3 linked regions of the Caenorhabditis elegans genome follow. The protein of the gene in region 1 purifies or fractionates together with the protein of each later gene. This does not show direct contact. Each region holds a gene or a part of one and is shown in the gene's direction. Other genes may lie near its edges.

What was found.
Region 2: the proteins of dylt-1 (region 1) and cox-17 fractionate together in Caenorhabditis elegans (co-fractionation; one large-scale study listed by BioGRID). This does not show direct contact.
Region 3: the proteins of dylt-1 (region 1) and exc-15 fractionate together in Caenorhabditis elegans (co-fractionation; one large-scale study listed by BioGRID). This does not show direct contact.

Annotation. Positions count from the first base shown.
Region 1 is NC_003279.8:7,299,510-7,302,658, reverse strand, and holds dylt-1 (DYnein Light chain (Tctex type)), read left to right. Parts: upstream 1-1,745; 5' UTR 1,746-1,764; coding exon 1,765-1,806; intron 1,807-1,908; coding exon 1,909-2,116; intron 2,117-2,236; coding exon 2,237-2,307; 3' UTR 2,308-2,594; downstream 2,595-3,149. Other genes in the region: Inositol monophosphatase ttx-7, read left to right, coding at 1-106, 220-324, 433-587, 632-752, 1,233-1,494; BAH-4 (Glycosyltransferase family 92 protein F13G3.3), read left to right, coding at 2,697-2,785, 2,847-3,071.
Region 2 is NC_003281.10:189,170-192,497, forward strand, and holds cox-17 (Cytochrome c oxidase copper chaperone), read left to right. Parts: upstream 1-1,816; 5' UTR 1,817-1,827; coding exon 1,828-1,920; intron 1,921-2,595; coding exon 2,596-2,694; 3' UTR 2,695-2,812; downstream 2,813-3,328. Other genes in the region: ubc-20 (UBC core domain-containing protein), read left to right, coding at 7-89, 146-272, 1,233-1,406; sec-20 (Sec20 C-terminal domain-containing protein), read left to right, coding at 2,937-3,046, 3,267-3,328.
Region 3 is NC_003283.11:4,481,844-4,487,059, forward strand, and holds exc-15 (NADP-dependent oxidoreductase domain-containing protein), read left to right. Parts: upstream 1-1,615; 5' UTR 1,616-1,661; coding exon 1,662-1,797; intron 1,798-2,272; coding exon 2,273-2,610; intron 2,611-3,372; coding exon 3,373-3,821; intron 3,822-4,495; coding exon 4,496-4,574; 3' UTR 4,575-4,700; downstream 4,701-5,216.

The DNA of each region.
Region 1 (3,149 bases):
GCAAGGTTGACACAAAATCATCGAATACTGATTTGGTGACTGAAACTGACCAAGCTGTTGAAAAGCTTCTCATCGAAGGGCTCTCCGAGAGATTCAAAGGACATAGGTAAGAGCAAGGAATTCCCACGGTCCGCTCGATTTCACTCATTGTCTCCATGACAACCAGTTGGACTTTCTTTTTCAATCGAGTATTTACATAAATTTACTATTTTGATTCAGATTCATTGGCGAGGAATCTGTAGCCGGAGGTGCGAAAATTGAATGGACTGATGCACCAACATGGATTATTGATCCGATTGATGGAACTACTAACTTTGTTCATAGGTAAGATTTTTTTTAAATCGGACTCTTCAAATAATGGCAAATCGCGTTATTTAATTTCTAATTTGGACTCAAATTTTTCTCGAAAAACAAATTCTTATGTTATTATAGAATCCCTATGATCGCAATCTGCGTTGGACTTGCAATCAAAAAACAAATTCGTGCTGGAATCGTATACAATCCAATCACTAATGAACTTTATCTCGCTCAACTCGGAAAGGGAGCTTTCAAAAATGGATTTCCAATCCGAGCATCAAAGAATCAATGTAAGTAATTGCACTTTTCTTGTCATGCACCCTGCTTTTTGAAGTGCTTTCAAAGGGAGTTCTCTGTCAATCTCTCGGTCTGCATAATCGTGTTCAGTTCGGCGATCGCTGGCTCGACATTGCCCAGTCAAACATGCGAAATCAAGTGATGGCTGGTGTGCGAGGGTTTGTTTTAATTTTTTGGTCTAAAATTGATTACTTTTTTACAAAAAATATACCTCCACACTTCCCGCGCTGGTTTTGCACGTTTTACTTTCAATTTTATTTACATTCACATAGAAACGTTGCAAATTCCAGTCATTGCGGAAAGTGTGCTCATACTTCAACTTGGCTCAATTCGATCTCCTGTTATGCAGAAATCATTTGTTGATTCTTACAAGACTGTTATGTTCGACAAACAATGTCACGGGTACTTATAAATATTTTTTATATTCTTGTCGAAATCTAGTGACTTTCTTGAACTGTGCGTTTGCAAATTTTTTGAAAGTTTTACTAAAATTGAGAAATGGATAAGATGGAAAAGTTAGATGTTGGATGGACAAAGTTTAATATGAAAAAAATCACGAGGATGATGTGATATTATTATTTTTAATATTGTTATACATAATAAAAGTTATTTGAAAAAAATCCAAGTTTTTTTTTCAGACACCGTTCGTTTGGCTCCGCCGCGATCAACATGGTGATGGTTGCACAAGGAAGTTGCGATGGATATGTTGAATACGGGATTCACGCTTGGGATGTTGCTGCTCCTTCTATCATTGTCACAGAAGCCGGAGGTGTTGTCACTGATCCAACTGGATCCCCATTTGACGTCATGTCAAGAAAAGTTCTCTGCGCTGGAACAGCTGAACTCGGACGCGATTTATCTGCATGCCTCACTCATGTCGATTTCGAGCCGGAAGCCTAAATATATATTTAACTATTTATTTTCAAAACTCACATATTGTGACATAACATTCCTACCATAACATGCATTATCTGTATTTCCAATTTAATATTAGTTTTTTGATTTTATTTTCTAGTCGTATGTATTCTCGTTTTATGAGAATAAATTATTTAAAGATGTTTATATCTTAATTTCTGATACTTCAATTGCCGTTTGAGCGCACTTGATTTATTTATACTGTCTCTTTTTTAATAATTAAACTCAATATTCAGCTCTCACAAGCTCAACATCATGGCTTTGGCAGAGGAGGACGTTCACATGATCATCAAGCAGGTACCGATATTTTATATGTCTACTGTATTAATTCTTTGAAAAACTATAATTTTTGAGTTGATTATTGTTTATTCACATTCTCGTAATCCAATAATCTTTCAGGTACTCGACGAGGTTGTAGGCGCAAGCACCCAGTATACCCACAAGGACAGTGTTCAGTGGAATCAGAAGGCCGTCGAACAAATAACGAAGAAGCTAGTGGCAGCGGGAAAACCATACAAATATGTGGTTACCTCGTCGTTCCTTCAGATCTCGAGCGGTTCCGGTCTCAATGTTAGCACGATTTCCTACTGGAATAAAGTCACGGATTGTGAGTTAACATTTTGTATTAAAACATTAAATAATAAAGAGGGAAATAAATTTATTACTCACAAAGTTCTGATTTTGAAAGTTGGTATTCAACTTATAGCTCAAAAAATCTCATTTTCAGCCTCGTACATGTACCGTTGGGAAGCCAAAACAATGCTTGCAATCGTCTATGTTTTTGCAATTGCAATTTAACAATCCACAGCTTCATCTTATATGTCTACTCTGGTTTTCCTCGTTTACCGCCAATTCTCCCCTTATTTCTGATTGTTTTTTTCTTCCCCATTCATCACACACTATCATGTTTTATATTCAGACCTATTACCTGTCCAGAAAAACTGAGCTGAAAAAATCCGGACGAGCAGCTCCTTCACATTCAAAATCTTCCATCATTTCCCCCACTCAATTCATTTGTTTTGTCTTTGATTTTCAAATTTTTTGCCTTATTATTTTATTGCTAAATTAATGAAAACTGTTACTCCTCATTTTGACCGTCGCACTCATTGAAGGTAGTTCGAGATTAGATGTTCAGATAACTTGCGGGACGCGTTAGGACACAAAACAAGTGCGTCAGATCAGCCAAAATGCTTCCACGAATAATTCCATCGGTTCTGTCTGTGGTATTACTTTTTTCGTTTTTATTTTTTGTAACGGCAGTCTTACTTCAATTTATGTAAGTATTGATAGTTAAAAATTATCACCGTTCAAAAATGATTGAAACGATAAATTTCCAGTCGAATCGATTCACCAGATCTTGAAAATGAAGAAGTATTTCATTCGGCACCTTATGATATATTCATTTATTCTGCATTTTATTATAATAAATCAAAAAGTCTCGGAGATTCTTCAATGGTTATTCTGATGACTGCTGATTTTGAAGTTTTGGAAAAAGTTAAAAATCTTGAACTTTTGGGCATAAATGACACGAGTCGAGCTATGACATCTGCTGAATTGGAAAGGTTTGTGTATTTAATTTCTTATTTTTGTGTTGATTCGAAGTTTTTGAGCTTTTCGGCACCAATTAAATAAGATTTGAA
Region 2 (3,328 bases), on another chromosome or scaffold:
TTTCAGGTCAAGTTCAGCACAAAAATCTGGCACCCGAATGTCAGCTCGCAGACCGGCGTCATTTGCCTCGATATTCTTAAGGATCAATGGTAATATTGCGATTATTATTTTAAAATCGGAAAATTTAATTTATTTTCAACTTCAGGGCCGCTTCGCTGACTCTTCGCACGGTTCTCCTGTCGATTCAGGCGTTGATGTGCACACCGGAGCCCAAGGATCCTCAAGATGCCGTCGTCGCCAAGCAATACATGGAGAAGCCAGCAGTTTTCAAGGTAGCAGCGTGGAAAATTCAGAAAATTCGCGGAAAAATGGGGAAAATATTGCGAAATCCGATTAAAAAATCAATATGGGTCTGCTAAGTAATTAAGTAATTAGCAGACCCAAATCTTCCCTTATTTTGTGTGTTTTTTTGCGTATTTTGCCCCAAAAATTATCTATAATTTCCCATTTTTCAGGCCAACTCGAGTTTTGAAGCGTCAAAATTGAGAAAATTCGATGGGAAACGTGCAAAATTCGTTAATTCCCGAATTTTGGAGACAATTCTGACTGTTTTACACTGAAATGCACGATTTTCTCGGAAAATTATTGATTTTTGCCCTGAAATTTCAGAATTTGGCCGATTTTCTTTAGAATTTGGGTCTGCCAACTAATTAGCAGGCTTGTAGAAACGCCACGTGGTTTTCGATGGTCTGCTAAATATTTAGCAGACCCAAGTATGGTCTGCTAAATAATTAGCAGACCCAAGTATGGTCTGCTAAATAATTAGCAGACCCAAGTATGGTCTGCTAAATATTTAGCAGACCCTAATCCCGTATTTATCCTTTAAATTTAGTTTTTTTCGCGGAATTTACTGGTTTTTTCTTGTTTTTCAACCAGGAAATCGTTCAAATTCATCACTTTTTGTCCCAGAAGCCGAGAAAAATCAGTTTTTCAGCTCATATCGAAATTTGTTTTTCAAAAAGAAATTATAAAAAAGTTTAGCAGACCCAAAACTCAACAAATTTGGCGAAGTTGTTTTTAGTCTAAAAACTCGAATTTCCCCGAAAATTCGTTGTTTCCAGTGAGTGTAAAAACTCGAGAAATCTCAAAAAAAAAATTGGTTTTCATTCGAATTTTCTCAATTTCCACGCTTGAAAACTTTAGGTAGCCTAGAAAATAGACAAACATAGACAACATAAACTGAATAATAGCCTAATATGCTCTTAATATACTAAATTTCCACCATTTTTCAGGCCACCGCCGAGTACTGGACGACAAAATTCGCAAAGGGAGCCGTGAAAAACGCCGGATACCAGGCTCTCGTCGACAAGCTCAAGGATATGGGAGTCCGTGAGGAAGAGGCTGTCAGCGTGCTCAGCTGCAACAATTGGGACATCAATCGCTCGACGGTCTACATTTTCTCTTAAATTCTTTTTTATTCGATTTTTTTGAATTTTTTCTGTGAGCCTCTTGTCTTGAAGTTTGTGTCCTAAAAATCCCTTATTTCTTCCATTTTTTTCCGAGAAATTTTCGTCCCCAACCCCCCGCACCACTGGTATTTCTTTTTACCAATTCGTACCATCCTCACCCCAAAAAAACCGATCAGAATAGTAGATTTTCCGCCTGATTTGTGTGTGTTTTGCCTATTTATTATCGATATTATTCATTGAAATTTCCCCCCTTTGACCCCCATTTTTTTTGCAACGATACTCTTTCCATGAATTATATTGACGGAGTTGTAGCTGCAATTTTTATCCGATTTTCTGAAAATTTTTGGCGAATGTCGTTTTTAATATCTTTAAAACTCCATTTTTATCTGTAAAATCTATAATTTTAGCACCCAAAAAAATGCCAGCAGAGCCACAAAAATCCACAGAAGCCGGCAGCGTGGCACCGGAGAAGAAGCTGAAAGCGTGCTGCGCGTGTCCTGAAACGAAACGAGTGAGGTTTTGATGGAAAATGGAAAAATGGCGAAAAATTCCAATTTTGCGGTTGAAAATCGCTAAATTTTACATTTCGACTATCCAAAACTGATTTTTCCGAGTTTTTGCATCAAAAATCGAGAATTTCTGGGAAAAAACTCAATTTTGAACATAAATTCGAAAAAAAATGGGTCTGCTAAATATTTAGCAGACCCATTTTTGGTCTGCTAAATATTTAGCATACCCAACTTTGGTCTGCTAATTATTTAGCAGACCCAAGTATGGTCTGCTAAATATTTAGCAGACCCCAGTATGGTCTGCTAAATATTTAGCAGACCCCAGTATGGTCTGCTAAATATTTAGCATACCCAATTTTGGTCTGCTAAACATTTTGCAGACCCAATTTCGAAAAATCTTAATTTTTTCCTCAAAAACGGAATTTTCTTGGTTTTTACAGCAAAAATCGAGAATTTCCGCGATTTTCTGACTAGAAAACCTGAAAAATTCGTGAAATTCGTTGAAAAAACTCAATTTGGAACAGAAATTCGAAAAAAAATGGGTCTGCTAAATATTTAACAGACCCAAAACTACACTAATCCCGTTTTCCTTAGCTAAAAACCCCAGATTTTCACACTTTTTCGTCATTTTCAAATGATTTTCCATTCAAAACAAATGAAATAACCCCAATTTTCAGGTCCGTGACGCTTGCATCATCGAAAACGGCGAGGAGAAGTGCGGAAAACTGATCGAAGCCCATAAAGCCTGCATGCGAGCCGCCGGATTTAATATTTAACTGAAATTTTTAATTTTTTTGCATTTTTGAATGTTTTGTTATAGCTGTAGCTAGTTTTCTTGTTTTTTTTCTTCAAATTTTCATATTTCATAGCTTTAACATGAATTTTTCTGTTTTTTTTTCTTTTAAAATTAGTTTTTCTCACTGAAAACCGTGGTTTTTCCATTAAATGTATATATATATATATTTTGCCACGTGGCTCTATTGTTTATTTTTTATTATTTATCTGTAAACTTTTCCAGATGGATCAAAAAACGGGCCGGCAAAAAATGGAAGAGGCCGAGTACCTCCACGTGGGCCTCAATAGAATATTCGAAATTGCCAAGGAGAAGGTGGAAGTTGTCAGAATTGGGTAAAAAAACGGAATTTGCACTTTAAAATACCCAAAATAATCTGAAAAATCGCTTTTAATGCAGAAAAATGGAAAATTTCGCATTTTTCTGGAAAAAAATGTGAAAAATGTGATTTTTCTCCAAGAAATATTCGAAAAATCACTTTTTTTATGTTTAAAAATGTGATATTTCTTGGTTTTTTTTTCAGTATTTTCGAGTATTTTAACATTTTTATTTTAGAAATGGCTCAAATGACAAGAAACAGCTAGCGAATGACGTCAGAGAGGCACAGAAGGTGCTCA
Region 3 (5,216 bases), on another chromosome or scaffold:
GTTTTAGAATTTTCTAAAAATCCAAATTTTTCATAATTGCATAGAACATTAAAAACATTACAAAAAACATCAAAAAAGATGCAGCACGAGGAACCTGACATCTCAAATACACACTGAATTATGCCCTTCTCGAGTGATCTGCTTTCGGAAGATAGCTATCGAACCCGGTAGATCAGCCTCTCGTAGATCAAATATGCGTGATAGATTGAAAATTAATCCCGAAATGTTCTTTAATATTGTAGATTCGTAATCTGTGAAATCGAAGAACCACGCTATCAAGTTTTGTTTCAAAAACTGGAAAATGCTGAACCCAAGTTTAGGAATTTTAAGAAATCGTGTACTTACCTCAAATTTTTATTTTTAATTTTCAGTAGAGGCTAGTTAGACACTTTTAGTTGCTTGGCCGTTAATCAATGGAAATTTAATAATTTATACTGTACATATGTTATTTTTCTCTATTTTTTCCATTTTATTTTCGGCAACCGGTTTTTGGAATTTTTTTTGTCAGATTTTTACAGTTTATGTTCTGGATGGGATTGTTTTTTTTAATCTCAAAATTTTTGCACGTTTCAGGTTTCAATATCATTTTACATATTCAATGAGAAATCAACTTTTCTGCAGAAGCCAGCGTCCACTTCAAAATAATTTTTGAACGGTATAGCAAATTGATAATAGTTAAGATTTCAACAACCAGGCTGTCACATAAAAATTGCACTCTATAAAAAATCGGTTTTTCAAAGAATTGGCAAACGTACAGAACTGTTCATTTCAGTACGAAAGTATAACTTTTTCAAATCAAATATTTAAAAAAAATGTAGAAAATTGTTTGTTCAATCTGAAATTTTTATTCATTTTTATTTGAAAGTTTAAAAAATACCTCAAACGGTCGTTGAAAATTTCAGTTTGCTGTGAAAAATTCAAAGTAATTTTTGCACAAAACAACAATTTTAAGGCCCTATTTAAAGTTTCTTTTAGATTTTTCAACAATAAACTTTTTATTTTCAGAAGGCCTTTCCGGCATTTCTATTTTTTTTTTTTTGACTGTAAATATAACTTTTTAAAACAATTTTTGAAAATTTTTACTATGATATTTCCTAATTTTGGCACGATATTACGCTACTTCACCTTTTAAAAATTTTTAATTTGTGTCTTTTGTTGTTTTTTCATTACTTCAAACGATCAAATAATGATTTTCGAACTCACCCACTTTTCGGTCATCTGACAACACTTTTCCCCTCTTATCTAGGCGTCCTTCATTTCAACGTCGTCCACTTCCTACTACTGTTTCATCACATGAACATCTATCTGCATGTATTTCAAATTTCTGTCAATAGTCTCAGTTCTCACATTGCCACAAACAAAAACAATTGTCATGTTTTTGGAATTTGCATGAAAAAAAAGTGAAAATTGGCCTCCGCATCATTGAACATTTTCCGTTACGGTCTTTTCATCTTTTTTCTATTTTTCCGGCATTCATTTTTTGTGACTGAGCGAAAACCGTTTGTTCATCTCTCGTCTCTATTTCTTGCCGATGGTCACAAAATACCTCTTATCATTTATTTTGTTTATCATTTTGTCATCTATTGGTTTAAACGTAGCTTCTCCTTTTACATTTATCAGTTTTCTGCTTTTCGGTCATATTCATTTTGAGTATTTGCAGAATGACCGTAGACTCTATTCCATTGAATACCGGAGCTCAGCTTCCACTTTTCGGATTGGGAACGTGGCAGGTGAAGGATGAAGCTGAGCTGACTGTGGCTCTTCGTGCAGCTCTTGATGCTGGATACAGACTTATTGGTGAGTGCTGTCCTAGATGGAAACCATAATTTTTTTTTAGTCATGTTTTCTTTTCTTCTTCCATTTGAGATGTCACAAAAAAATAATTGGAAAATAAAAACCGATTTAAAAAATGTTATTTTTGGCCAAAAACGGAAAACTCAAAAAAAAAGTGGTGGCTTGCTCAAACCAGTTAATTAAATTTTTTGCACAATTGAAAAAAAACATTAAAAATTTTGAAATTTTTTTCCAACATTTTTTACATTCGGTAACTACGACCCATTTTCAAAAAACCGACAAACTTTACTCACACCTTTAACTTCAGATTTTCCCATTCAAATTCTAGGTATTTTTCTACTTTTTGACACAAATGTTGAGATTTTTTACGGTGTCCAGTTTTTCGAGTTTTCGAATAAAACCATTGGCAAAGTTGATCCTTGGAGGGCAGTTTTGACAACGTTTTGACAACTGAAAATCCCATTTTTTCAATATTCAGACACTGCTCACCTCTACCAAAACGAGCACATTATTGGAAAAGTGCTCCATGAGTACATCTCATCTGGAAAACTGAAACGCGAGGACATCTTCGTCACCTCTAAACTTCCATTTACCGCTCACGCCCCGGAAGATGTTCCAAAATGTGTGGAAAGCCAATTGAAGGCGCTTCAACTTGAGTATATTGACCTGTATTTGATCCATTGCCCATTCCCATTCAAACATCAGGAGGGAAGCTTTGCTCCATTGATGGAGAATGGAGAGCTTGCTGTTACAGAAATCGCTCATATTGATACATGGAGAGCGTTGGAGAAGTTGTACAAGGAGGGAAAGCTTAAGGTTTGTGAGATTTGGTCTTGAAGGAACATCAGCAATTTCGATTTCCATAAAGTAATTGAATCAGGGGTGGGCGGCAATGCCATTCGGCAAATTTTTTTGTCGACAAGTTCGGCAAAACGGCAAATTGCCGGTTTGACGGTTTGCCGGAAGTTTTCATTTTCGGCAATTCGCTGATTCGCCGTTCGCCATTATATAAATTTGCCGGAAGTGTTTAGAGGGAATTTTTTATAAGACGGAAGCACTTAACACTGTGTCTTTTTGAAATTTTTTCCCGTTTTCATTAAACATTTTCAAAGGATTTGCTTATTTTTCAAAACAGATGTAGAAACATTCATAGGATGCGTACAATTTTGCCGATTAAAATTGAAATTCTGAAATTTCCAAAAAAAAAAGTGCAAAACCACAATTTTTCGAAAATTATTGGCCTTTTTTCCGGCAAATTCGGTAAGCAATTTGTCAGTTTGCCGATTTGGCGGAAATTTTTAAACAGGCAGTTTGCCCGAAAAATCGTTTGCCGTCCATGTGATGAAAAGTTTGTATTAAAAATGTTCTTATTAAATTTTTTCTTGAAAATTTCCAGTGGTTTATTCAAAAAATGTAGTCAAAATTAGACCCACCGGGTGTCAGCTGCTGTAACGTTTTTTGGAATACATATACTTATAAAATTTCAGCAGAATGTAGAAAAATTAGTTGCCAATATTTTGTTAACTATCCATGTTCAAGTTACACGTAGTGTTCTTTCTCCAAAAATATAATTTTCAGGCCCTTGGAGTATCCAACTTCAGTTGCAACCAGCTTCAAGCGCTCTATGACGCCGCCGAAGTGAAGCCAGCCAACCAACAAGTCGAGTGTCACATCTATTGGCCACAACAAGAGCTCCGTGCTCTGTGCAAAAAACTCGGAGTCACTGTTACAGCATACGCACCACTTGGCTCACCAGGCAGAAAAGCTGCTCGTCCGGACGGTGTCTGGCCGGAAGGTGACCCACTTCTCGAGCCAATCGTCAAACAACTGGCTGCCAAGTATCACAAAACTGCTGCACAGATTCTCATTCGCCACCTGACTCAACACGGTATTTCGACGATTCCGAAGAGTGTCAGTCCGGACAGAATTGTTGAGAATATCTCGACGTTTGATTTTAAGCTGAGCGATGAGGATATGCACACTTTGAACAGTATCGAGACCAGAACTAGACTTTTCATCGCTGATTTGTAGGTTTTTTATCTATGGAACGAATGTTTTAAAATTAAAAAAAACCATTTCAAGTTTGAAACTTTTATATTTTTGTCGAAATTATTTCCCCTCCACTCGCTCACTTCAGGATATTTTCCCGTCAGTGGGCCGGTAAATCTTCAGTAGTCCAAACCAAGAGTGCGCTGCAATTGGCAATTTCATCAATTGCCGGTTTTGAAAAATTCCGGCAATCGGCGATTCCGGCGATTGCCGAAATTGCAGAAATTGTCGATTGCCGGACATTTTCGGCGATTTTCAAACCTAACTATATTTCGGAAATTGAAAAAATTGCAAATTGGTTTTTAGTATTCAGTTAGTCATTTTCTGAAAGAAAGCGTTAAATCCATCAAGGATTCAATCATTTTGAGCTTGAAAAAGGAAAATTGTTCCTTAAAATGCATGTTTAGGCTAAAATTATATTTCCGGCAATTCTGATTTCCGGCAACTGGCAATTTTGGCAATTGCCAGTTTTGGAAATTTTCGGCAATTGACAATTTTGCCAACTGCCGAAATTTCCAAAATTGGCAAAAATTCGATGGTCCAAACTCAAGAATTCCAGCTCAAAATTATACAATCCTATAAACAAATTAAATCACACTTTTCCTCGTGTAGTACACAAAGCTATGCAAATTATCATTGTATAATTTTTCAGCGCTGTCAAGCATCCATTCTTCCCACACGACGACATTGACACCTCCAAAGTTCCAAAAGTTGGGATCAGACTTCACTAGACTTTTGGCTCAACTTGTGAATTAGAAAACAAAATGGATTGTAGAACTCTTTATCGCACATTTCTTATTATGAATATTTGTAATTTTGATTCGAAATAATGAAGTACATCATATATATATATATATATATATATATATATATATATATATATATATATATATATATATATATTTCCCGCATGTATTTTATGGTCGAATATCAGGGGATAAACCAGTCTCGGAAGTGTTGGCGAAACAATAAAAAAAAACAGTTGATGATCGACAAATAATTGGACAACAGGTCTCGTCTCACTTCAAAAGGTTTCCGACGAAGAGGACCATCGACCTTGAGACCAAACAAACGACAGATTTTTGATTGCATAATTGAGGATGAAGTGAAGGCACTTCTTTTTTTTGGTGTGCATATCAGATCATAGGCGACTACATTTCGGCACCTCATTTGTTTCCTTACGTTATTCCACACTTAATCTGCCAAAACAGTTTGTGGGGGTACAGGTGGTGGGATTTGGAATGAGTTCCTATAAATAATTTAGGCAAATTATGAATGCTATAGGAAATTTCAATTTTTTTTTGAGATGAAAAATGATGAAGTAGAATATTTAAAAAAAAAACAATTTAAATTAGCATATTCAAGAAAAATTT